Cricetulus griseus: one gene and its partner. The protein of the gene in region 2 purifies or fractionates together with the protein of the main gene of each other region. This does not show direct contact. Links are inferred from orthologs where the notes say so. Each region holds a gene or a part of one and is shown on either strand. Other genes may lie near its edges.

What was found.
Region 1: the proteins of Rab6b (region 2) and Gdi1 purify together in Homo sapiens (co-immunoprecipitation; 3 studies listed by BioGRID and IntAct, counting the BioPlex papers as one, with this or other methods). This does not show direct contact. The link is inferred for Cricetulus griseus from reciprocal best matches to the Homo sapiens genes RAB6B and GDI1.

Annotation. Positions count from the first base shown.
Region 1 is NC_048604.1:1,416,097-1,420,556, forward strand, and holds the start of Gdi1 (rab GDP dissociation inhibitor alpha), read right to left. Parts: upstream 3,059-4,460; 5' UTR 2,798-3,058; coding exon 2,753-2,797; intron 2,594-2,752; exon of another isoform or gene 2,362-2,593; intron 1,722-2,361; coding exon 1,614-1,721; intron 1,461-1,613; coding exon 1,361-1,460; intron 1,203-1,360; coding exon 1,068-1,202; intron 640-1,067; coding exon 441-639; intron 185-440; coding exon 53-184; intron 1-52. Other genes in the region: Atp6ap1 (V-type proton ATPase subunit S1), read right to left, coding at 4,075-4,284. UniProt on the Homo sapiens protein: Regulates the GDP/GTP exchange reaction of most Rab proteins by inhibiting the dissociation of GDP from them, and the subsequent binding of GTP to them. Promotes the dissociation of GDP-bound Rab proteins from the membrane and inhibits their activation.
Region 2 is NC_048597.1:211,359,196-211,363,652, reverse strand, and holds the start of Rab6b (ras-related protein Rab-6B), read right to left. Parts: upstream 3,090-4,457; coding exon 3,020-3,089; intron 1-3,019. UniProt on the Homo sapiens protein: The small GTPases Rab are key regulators of intracellular membrane trafficking, from the formation of transport vesicles to their fusion with membranes. Rabs cycle between active GTP-bound and inactive GDP-bound states.

The DNA of each region.
Region 1 (4,460 bases), on a different chromosome or scaffold from region 2:
ATTGGTCTTAGTCATACCCACTAATGCCAGCTTGGGAAAAAAAGGTCCTCACCTTGCAAAGCCCTGGGGCAGCTCGCCCAGGCCATAGAGTGGGTACAAATATGGGCTCTTGCCATACCGGGCCAAGGACTCACTGTACAACTTGATACGGTTAATAGTCTCAAGACAGGGCTGATCCAGGTAGCTGGGGAACAAGAGAAGATGCTTTGACAGCAGCACTCCTGCTCACCTTCAAAGACACCATCCGCCTTCCCACCACCCTTTGTGACCTGGCAAAGATATGAGTCAAATGGAAGAGAGGGATGGAAATGCAACAGGTGAACTTATAGACAAGTACAAGAGATATGCAGGGTGGGCAGTGGATACAATAGGCAGGTGTGGGGAGGATAAAGTGTGAGGCAGACAAAGGGGCTCCTGCCACCAGCCAGCTTTCCCCTCACTCATCAGTGCGGTAGAGCGCCAAGGCATGGCCAGTGAAATCAATGACATCTTGGCCCAGATCAAACTTCCTGTAGACATCACGCATGCTGGTGGTCTGGGGGTCGACACCCTCAAAGGTTTTGGGGTCATTCTCATCAAAGTTTGCCACAAACACCAAGAATTTCCGGAAGCGTCGTTTTTCAAACATGCCCATCAGATCTGAAGGAAGGGTATTGAAAAGACTCTTTTTGTATTACTGGGACATAAAACTCTTCTTTCCACCAGAGCAGGCCAGGAAAGTTGGTGTCCTGGCTCCCACCAGAGCTCAGTCATGTAACCCTGCCCCACCCTTCTTGGCCTTAGTTTTCCTATTTGTAGGAAGAGGCACTCCTAGCTCCACTTGGGGATGCAATGGGGGTCAAGTAGGCCCTCTGCCAAAAAGAAATCCTCCTCAATGAGCTTCCTTTCTGGTAACTTGCCAGGATGGGTAGCACATTCCAATAAAGGTACTATAAAGCAAGGGGCCTCTGGTATTACATAGAGCTAAGATTAGGCTTAGGCAAATGGGAGCCTTTTGCCTAACTATCTTGAGAATAGTCTGCTTCCTCCTGTCCCATTATTCTCTGGCTAAGGAGACTCATACTTACTAGAAGCCAAGGCCTCAGTCTCAGTGGATGGTACTTTGTAGATCTTGCCTCCCTTGTATACAAAGCTGCCCTCAACCACCTTGAAGTCCAGATAACGAGTCACTTCTGTATACAGCAGCATCTTTACCAGCTGACCTGTGTCCAGAGAGGATTAGGGATGTCAGTGTAGCTCCCTTCAAAAATCTCTCAGTTGTCTGACTGACCTTATTCTGGAGCTTGAACCTCCCCTCTGGTCTTCCCAATCACCACCACCCACCAATCACCATATACATTATCTTCTTAATCTCCCTCACCATTGGCCATGAGAAATTTGGGGATCAAGTCAACATTCCAGTCTCGGCCCCGGCCCATTGACTCAGGGGGCCCTTCCAGCAACTGAAAACGTTTATATAGCTGTAAACAGGACAGAAAGAAAGAAAAATGTCAAGGACCACCTATCCCTCTCCCATTCTCCAGCCCAGCACCTGGGAACTACTTTGCCCCCATGCCCCTATGTGAGAGACTAAAAAGGGGTCTGGGTCTTAGCTCAAGTCCAAGAAGCCTTACCTCTTCCAGGGGTGTGATGGAAGAGCTCTCACCCCCATAGTAAGGGTTCCGGTCCATGTGCAGCACCTTCTTTCCATTCACAGACATGATGCCAGACAAGATGCATTCCTGGGGGAGGGGTGGCATTTGCAGCTACACTCCCATCTGCCTTCTGACCTGCATCCCTGGTTTGTCCCTGACTCAAACCCGACATAAATTTTGTAACATAAATCCCTGCCTCTTGTAGCACCTAAAACTGGAGAGAGGGGAAATGGCTTCATTCGATGTTTCCTTTATAACCCTGTTAGGCAAGACGGTGAAATGCCAGAGCATTAAATGAGGCTTAGGGAGGCAGAGCTTCCAGCAGACCCAAGGACAGTCTTCTAGTACCCACAAGCCAAGTAAGTATCTGCCTGCTCTGAGCCCACAAAAAGGTAACGAGTCTGGAGAAGAACCAATTCAAATGAAATCCCAGACCCCACCCTGGGCTGCTCCTCCTACAAAGGCAGGAGCCCCTGACCCTCCAGCCCTATCTACCGGTCCAGACTCAGGGTGCAAACCAACAACCAATCACTGTCACTAGCCCAAGGACAAAGGCAGAGGATATATTCAGCCTGAGATCTCCATGGGAAACCAGACTGGGGTAGAGGGAATGTCGTAACTACCCCCACTACTGCTGCTTCTGGAACATTCCCTGAATTACCGTCCCCTCTCAAAAGGCAAAAAGGCAGGATGAGAACCCACCCTTGGAATGCCCCCATACCCATACCTTTATACTCAATGCCCTAGTGTGATCACCACAAAATGGTAAGAGATGCTAATCAAGGATGCTAAGCAGGTGAAGGGTGGGGGCTGGGCACAACCGGTCCGGGGGGGGGGTAGTTTTCCACCTCGGTGACACAGATAGGGACGATGAAGGGGTCCTAGGGTGCAGGGATACAGGCTGAAACAGGGTCCTCTACGGGGAAGCAAGAAGATGGCAGCGCCGTCGAGTCGACATCCTAGGGTGAGGCAGTGGGGTGGGAGCGGGGTTGGCTTTGCCAGGACCAGAGCCAGGAAAGCAATGATGGGAGAATGAGACCGGTGACCAGGGCTCTGCATCACCGCGGGGGATGGGAAAGGCATGCTACAGGGCTATGAGTGCCTAGGGTGACACTTACGGTAAGACCTGTCCCCAGTACTATCACATCGTATTCCTCGTCCATGGTCAGGCCTTGGTACCAACGCCCGCTCGGCTCCTCCTCCTCCTTCACCACAGCAGCCACTGCCGCCGCCGCCGCTGCCACCGCACTGAACCAAAGATGGCGGCTATCAGTCGTCTCCAGATCCTTCCGCCGCGTCAAAGAGTCCCTCTCCCTCCTCGGGCCCTGCCACACCCTAGCGATGCCACCGTTTCTCCCGCTTATTTTCTGGAAGGGCTTCCAGCGCCTGAGTCTCCGCACCAGTACAATTTCGGGGGCAACGCAGATCTTCGCGAGCCCAGAGAAATGCGGGGCGGGGCGGGTCCGTGGCAGGTGCTGCGTCCCGCGAAGATCCATGCGCGGGAGCCGAGAGCGCCCCGCCCCGTCCCATCCCTCCTGGCGCGATCCCATACCGCCCCTCTGGGAGAAACAGCAAGGCCCTGTGGTATTTGCAGTTGCCTGTATCTTTCATTGTAAGGACTCTCCCCAAGGCCAGGAGAAATAATGGGCCTCTACCTTAACTCGTTAAGAGTATCAATCAGCTTGATGAAGACTCTCCCACCCTTCCCCTCTCACCTGTTAGGACTACACCTGGGCACTTCTTCCCCTCAGTCAAAAACAAATCTACTGTCAAGTGCAGAAATGAGTGACTCAAAGCCGAAGCCCAACACATATGACAACACGTCTTTATTTTATTAGGAAGGGAAACAAAAAGAGTACCCCCATCCCCATCTCTTGGCAGACAATCCTAGTGGGAATAAGCCTTGTGGAGGTCTCTTCTTTCTCAGGCTACAGAAATAAACCCCAGTGTACAGATCATTCTTAACATGTCACCCAAAAAACACAACAGCCAAGCTGGACAGACAGTTAAGTAGTCTTTCCATACATCTCAAACTCAAGGAACCTCAAGTTTATTGCTGTTGCTGGAAGATTCATAAAGCTTGGGGAGTGAGCATTAATTACACAGAAGCACTATAAACAGCAAGTAGCGGAGGGGCAAGAATAAATAAGGGGGAAAGGGAGAAAGGGAACCCTAGAATTAATGTTCCTTCCCCTCATGATGATGGAGCCTGGAAGATTTGTCTAATATCTATGAAGAATATATACACTTTGTTGGTAGAGATGGGGGATAGCCCCAGGGAAGCCAGTCCCTCAGTAGGTTGAAGAGGAAGCAAGACAGGCTGAGGGTACTGCAGGGTTCATGCTATCGAAGAGAAAAAAAACTTTCTATCCACTATGCCACAAGATGCAAACATGACAACCTAGACACCAACACTCCCTCAATCTCTCTCTGGCACAGGTCACACAATCTGTGTCAAAGTGATGGTGGGGCCCTTGTGGTCGTCAAAACGATCCATGGTCTTGAGGCTGAGTATCATGTGCAGGCCATAGGTGAAGATGAAAAGCATGAAGAGGGTGGTGAGCAGCCCCATCCAGATGCCTGGAGAGAAGAAGCCAGCACAGTCGCTAGCATAGGAGAACTGCTCACCCGTCACATTGAAGGCCTGGATCTAGGAGACACATAGACATGGATCAGAAGGGACCACAAGTTTCTACAGACAACAAGGGCTGGGGTTCTGGAATCAGTGAACAGTCTAGACCTTCAGAGACAGCATAAGGATGGAACTCTCAGCTACATGCTCAAGCCATACTGAAATTCTCTGGGCTCTTCTTCCCTCCCCCTACT
Region 2 (4,457 bases):
GGTATGTGTCCTCTGTGTGTCTCCACCATTGCCATCCATGTTAGGTTTAGTTAGGAAGACCCAGAAAGTTACCTGAGCACCAGAAGGACTGCATGACATCCCTGGTTCAAGGAAATACCTCACCATAGGTCCACAGCACCTGCCCAGGATCCTACCCCATGTGGGGCTCGCACTGCCAGCCAGACTATAGTCCATAGGCCACATGATACCATGCACTCCGCTGTCAAGCTCTCTTCCAGGCTGGAGGTATGTTCCAGAGAGGGGACACTCAAAGGCTTCCTATTTGAACCAGTTCCTTGATACCTTTGAAGGCCTCATGCCTACCTGTGATATCTGCCCCAGGGTTTTTTTCTTCCTTACCCTGCTCCAAGCCTGCCACTCATCTTTGGAGTCCAGCCACCTCTGCCCACTCAGGTTATCCCTGAGTGGACCTAGAGGGATAACCACCGCAATACCAGGAACAGAGATCAGGAGGCCCGTGTCCTTCCTCCCCCACCACCAGCAGACTCAGCTCAGACAGGCAAGCTTATGCTTCTGAATTTTGCTGCCTCAAGTGCCCTGGTATAGAGGGCAAGGGGCCTCCTTGATCACAGAAGAAGGGAGAGCTAGGGTAGGGGTTGGATCAGACCCCAGAAGCCTGCCTTCACAGCACAGGCTGCAGAGGATGCTAGCATGCAAAACTGTGCAGAGTTAAGGGCTTACAACGGCAGCAATCCTTGGGGATACACATAACCTCTGCAGCTCACAGATACCAAAAGCTCTGTAAACCTGAGGGAAACTCACGAATGACAGAACTAACTGTGTCAGGGGCTTTGGACTGTCTTCCAGAAGGCGCCAAGGTGGCCAGCAGTCAATCTCACTGATGGACCAGGTACCAAGGGCCCATGAACCCTACCCCAACCAACTAGCCCAGCATTCCCACCAGGTCACCCAAACCAACTATCCCTGAGCCCATATTCCCCCTCAAAGAGGTTCCGGGTGCAGCTTCCCCCATTGAAGGTCATCTTATTTCCCAGTGACATGCTAGTGAGGAATGGCAGACTGGAAAAGGAAAGTGGATTCCTGCTTCCAAAGTGTTCACAACTCACAATGGGCCTCCTGGCAAGCCCGCCCCATTCCCTGGAGCTCCCTTTCCACACAAGCATGGGTATAAAGGTTGACTCTCATTTTTGGGACTTCAGACTTGGAGGGGATTGGAAGAAGTCTCCGCAGGGGTTCCCACCCATCAGCACTGCTTGTAAGGGAGCCCAGAATTTTCATTCAAACTCACCGCATATGATTCTTTATGGAACCGTGTTCAGACTCGGAATAAACAAATATTCTTTGAGACTCTAGCATAGTCCAGGCACTGGGGAAAACATGAGGCACAAGGGCTCCTTCAAGCCACCCACTTTTCAGAGACAGAAACTGAGTGTCCCAGAGGTCTCAAATTAGGCAAAAGACAACACATTGAGACTTCCACCTCAAGGATGCTGTCCACCTGCAGGTTCCCTCTTAGGGCTGAGGTGCACCCAAATCCTTTCCACACAGCAGGGAACGGAGATGTCCTCTGTGACACTGGGCTCTACAAAGGACAGGAAATCAGCCCCAGCTGACTACCTAGCTGGGCTGGTCTCAATCTGGAATGTCTTAGGACAGGTAAACACTTTTTCCATCCTCATCCCAAACCTCCATCTCAGGTACTGAGCATCAACAGACAGAAGGTGGCCATGTGACCACCACAGCACACGTCATAGCTGCACTGTGCCTGAGCCCACTAGGTCCTCCCACAGCCTTCCTTCTCCTGGCCTCCAAACCAGCTAACAGGACTGGTTTACAGAGCTAGAGCTGGAGATCCCGCCCCCTGGGGATCCCCTTCTCCTCCAGCAGAAATGCTCAGAGCCCAGCTTGTCTCTGTAACCCCCTGGTGATGAGGCTCCAGGATCGAGGTTCTCATGGAGCCACACCTTCTTACAGGTATCAGAGAGGTCGCTGCTCTACAGTCTGGGTTTCCCACCTTGGACCAACCTGGGTTTCATATACTTGGGGTGGGGAGACTCCTGGGCAGCAAAGAAACCTTCAGTCTCTCCCTCCTTCGGCTCTGGCTGGCTGTCACGGTGACCTCCCCTCCCCCAGGAAGGGCGGTGAGCTGGGAGATGGGGGTGGGAGAATCCACCGGCTTCACTGATGCTCTCTGGAGGGGGCAGGGAAGCCAGGCAGGGCGTGTCGCTTAGGCCTTTCTCTGCCCAATGCCAAGCTCCTTGATATGAGATGCCTCTGTACCATCCCCCAAGTCACCTGCTATAGAGAGAATCTTCACTCTCATGGTCCACACCCCTGAGCCCCAAAGAGGCTAATGCATTAGCTAAGGACAGTGGGTCTAGAACCTTCTGCCCAGTCAAATGTAAGCCAGGGGAGCTAAGTGCTCTGTTCCCCTACCAACTGCACCTACTCTTTTCAAAAAGGGACAGGTGTCGTGTGCTCCATTCCTCAGCGGCCATCTGCTCCAGGGCTAGATGTCCTTTCCCTGGTTCCGGGAAGGGTCCACAGGGAACCCCTCGGGCGCAACCTTATGGGGTGGAGGCATCTAGTCCCCAGCCCCACCTCATTCTCCCAAGAGAGGCTTCTGTCCCTTCGCCCACACCCTTGCCGGCACCCAGACACCTGCACCGTGCTCTGCAGCCGGTGCCGCAGTGCGAGCTAGTCAGCGAGCCCGCGAGCCCGGCGCCCAGAGCCACCAAGCGAGCCAGCCGCCGCCCTCGGTCCTCCCGAACGCACCTGCACAGGGTACCCCTATCCAGTTCCCATCCTCACCCTCATCCCCTGACCCCGGAGCGCCTCCATCCTTTACCCCGGGTCCTCCCCAGCCTGGCCCCACCCGAGCCGGCCCCATATCCCCATCTACATCTCTTTCCTCCTCCGCTCGGGCGTGGAAGGGCCTTGGCGAGCCGGGACTGGGAGGGTCCCCAGTGGGGTGACTGAATGGGCGGCGTGGGGAAAAGACTCGGTTCCGAGCCGAGAGAATAAGCCGAGTACTCACCGCTCTGCTCCCCCAGGAACACCAACTTGAATTTTCGCAGCGGGTTCCCAAAATCTCCCCCTGCGGACATGGTGCTGGCAGCTGGGGCCCGGAGAGGAGGAGGAGGAGGAGGAGGAGGAGGAGGAGGAGGAAGCGGCGAAGGAGCAGGGAGGGGAGAGTAGGAGGGCGAGGGGAGGCGGCGGGCGGTGCGGGAGCCGGAGGGGGAAGGGTTGGCTGCGCGCGCCCCTGACTCCCCAGCTGCGGCCCGGCCCCGGCCTGCGGCTGCGTGTCCGACGGCGGCGACGGCGGAAAGGGAGGAGGCAGGGTGCGCGGCGCAGCCGAGGGCGGCGCTGGCTGCACGGGCGACAGTCGCGCTGTGGACGCCCGAGGCTCGGCGCGGGCAGCTAGGCGGGTGGAGCGGGGCGCAGGGACCGAGCTGGGCGGAGGAGCGCTCTCCGAGCAGCGCCACGCGCCCCCTCCCGCCCGCCTGCTCCGCCCGCCTGCGCTCTGCGAGCTCCCCTGCCTCTGATGTCATGCGGGGCTCGTGGGCTTGCAGGGCTTGGGGGGCGTGCGCCAGCCCCCCCCCCCACCGCGCAGCCCTCCCGGGAGAGCCACCTCGCCTTGTGTCTACGAGAGTGCCCCCCCCCTCCCCGGAGCGGCTCGCTGGGCCTGGCTACTTCTGTTTCTCCCACCCACCTAGGAAAAAAAAAATAAAGATACTACGTGATCAGGGGGACATTTGCTGCTGGTCTTTGACACCTAATGCGGGTCCCTTCCTCCGTCTCAGACACAGATGCGCAGAGCAGTGGTCGGATAGGGTGGGGAGGTAGGAAAGGGCCAGTGCTCTGTGTATTGGCCAGTAGGGAGATGTGAGGATACCTGGTGCAGACCGGGGGTGGGGCTCCTCTGTAGCCCCTGGTGGCCTCTAGCTTGCCCTCCCACCTAGGTCCAGACTCTCTATGGGGAGGGGGCTGTGGTTGTTCGCAGCAGATCTGGCCAGTGGGAGAGAAGATGCCCTTATAGGACGTGCCTACAACAAACCCACCGATTTGAATCCTAATCTTCTGATGGAAACCAGCTCCACTAACTCCAGGACAGTGCCCAGCATTTTTTGACCCAGAGACTACCAATCTACACTCTTCTGCCCTGCTATTTGGGTTTGTTTGTATAATGAGCTCCTCCTATCCTCCTCTGCTTGCTGGGCACACACAGCAGGGGGAGAGCAAAGGGCAGACTCCAGAATAGGACTAGACGCACTCCCAGGACAGCCCAGTCTAAAACATCCGGTTAATAGAAGCTTTACGAAGCTCCCCTCTTTTTGTCTTGCTGCCCACTGGCTTTGACCTCTGGCCATTCAGGGGATACTTTTTGGGAAACGTTTTGAATGTGTGGTGTGTGTTACACAAAGAGAGCCAGGAGTGAAATGCACCCCACTCCTGTAGTAAATTTGTGCACTTAC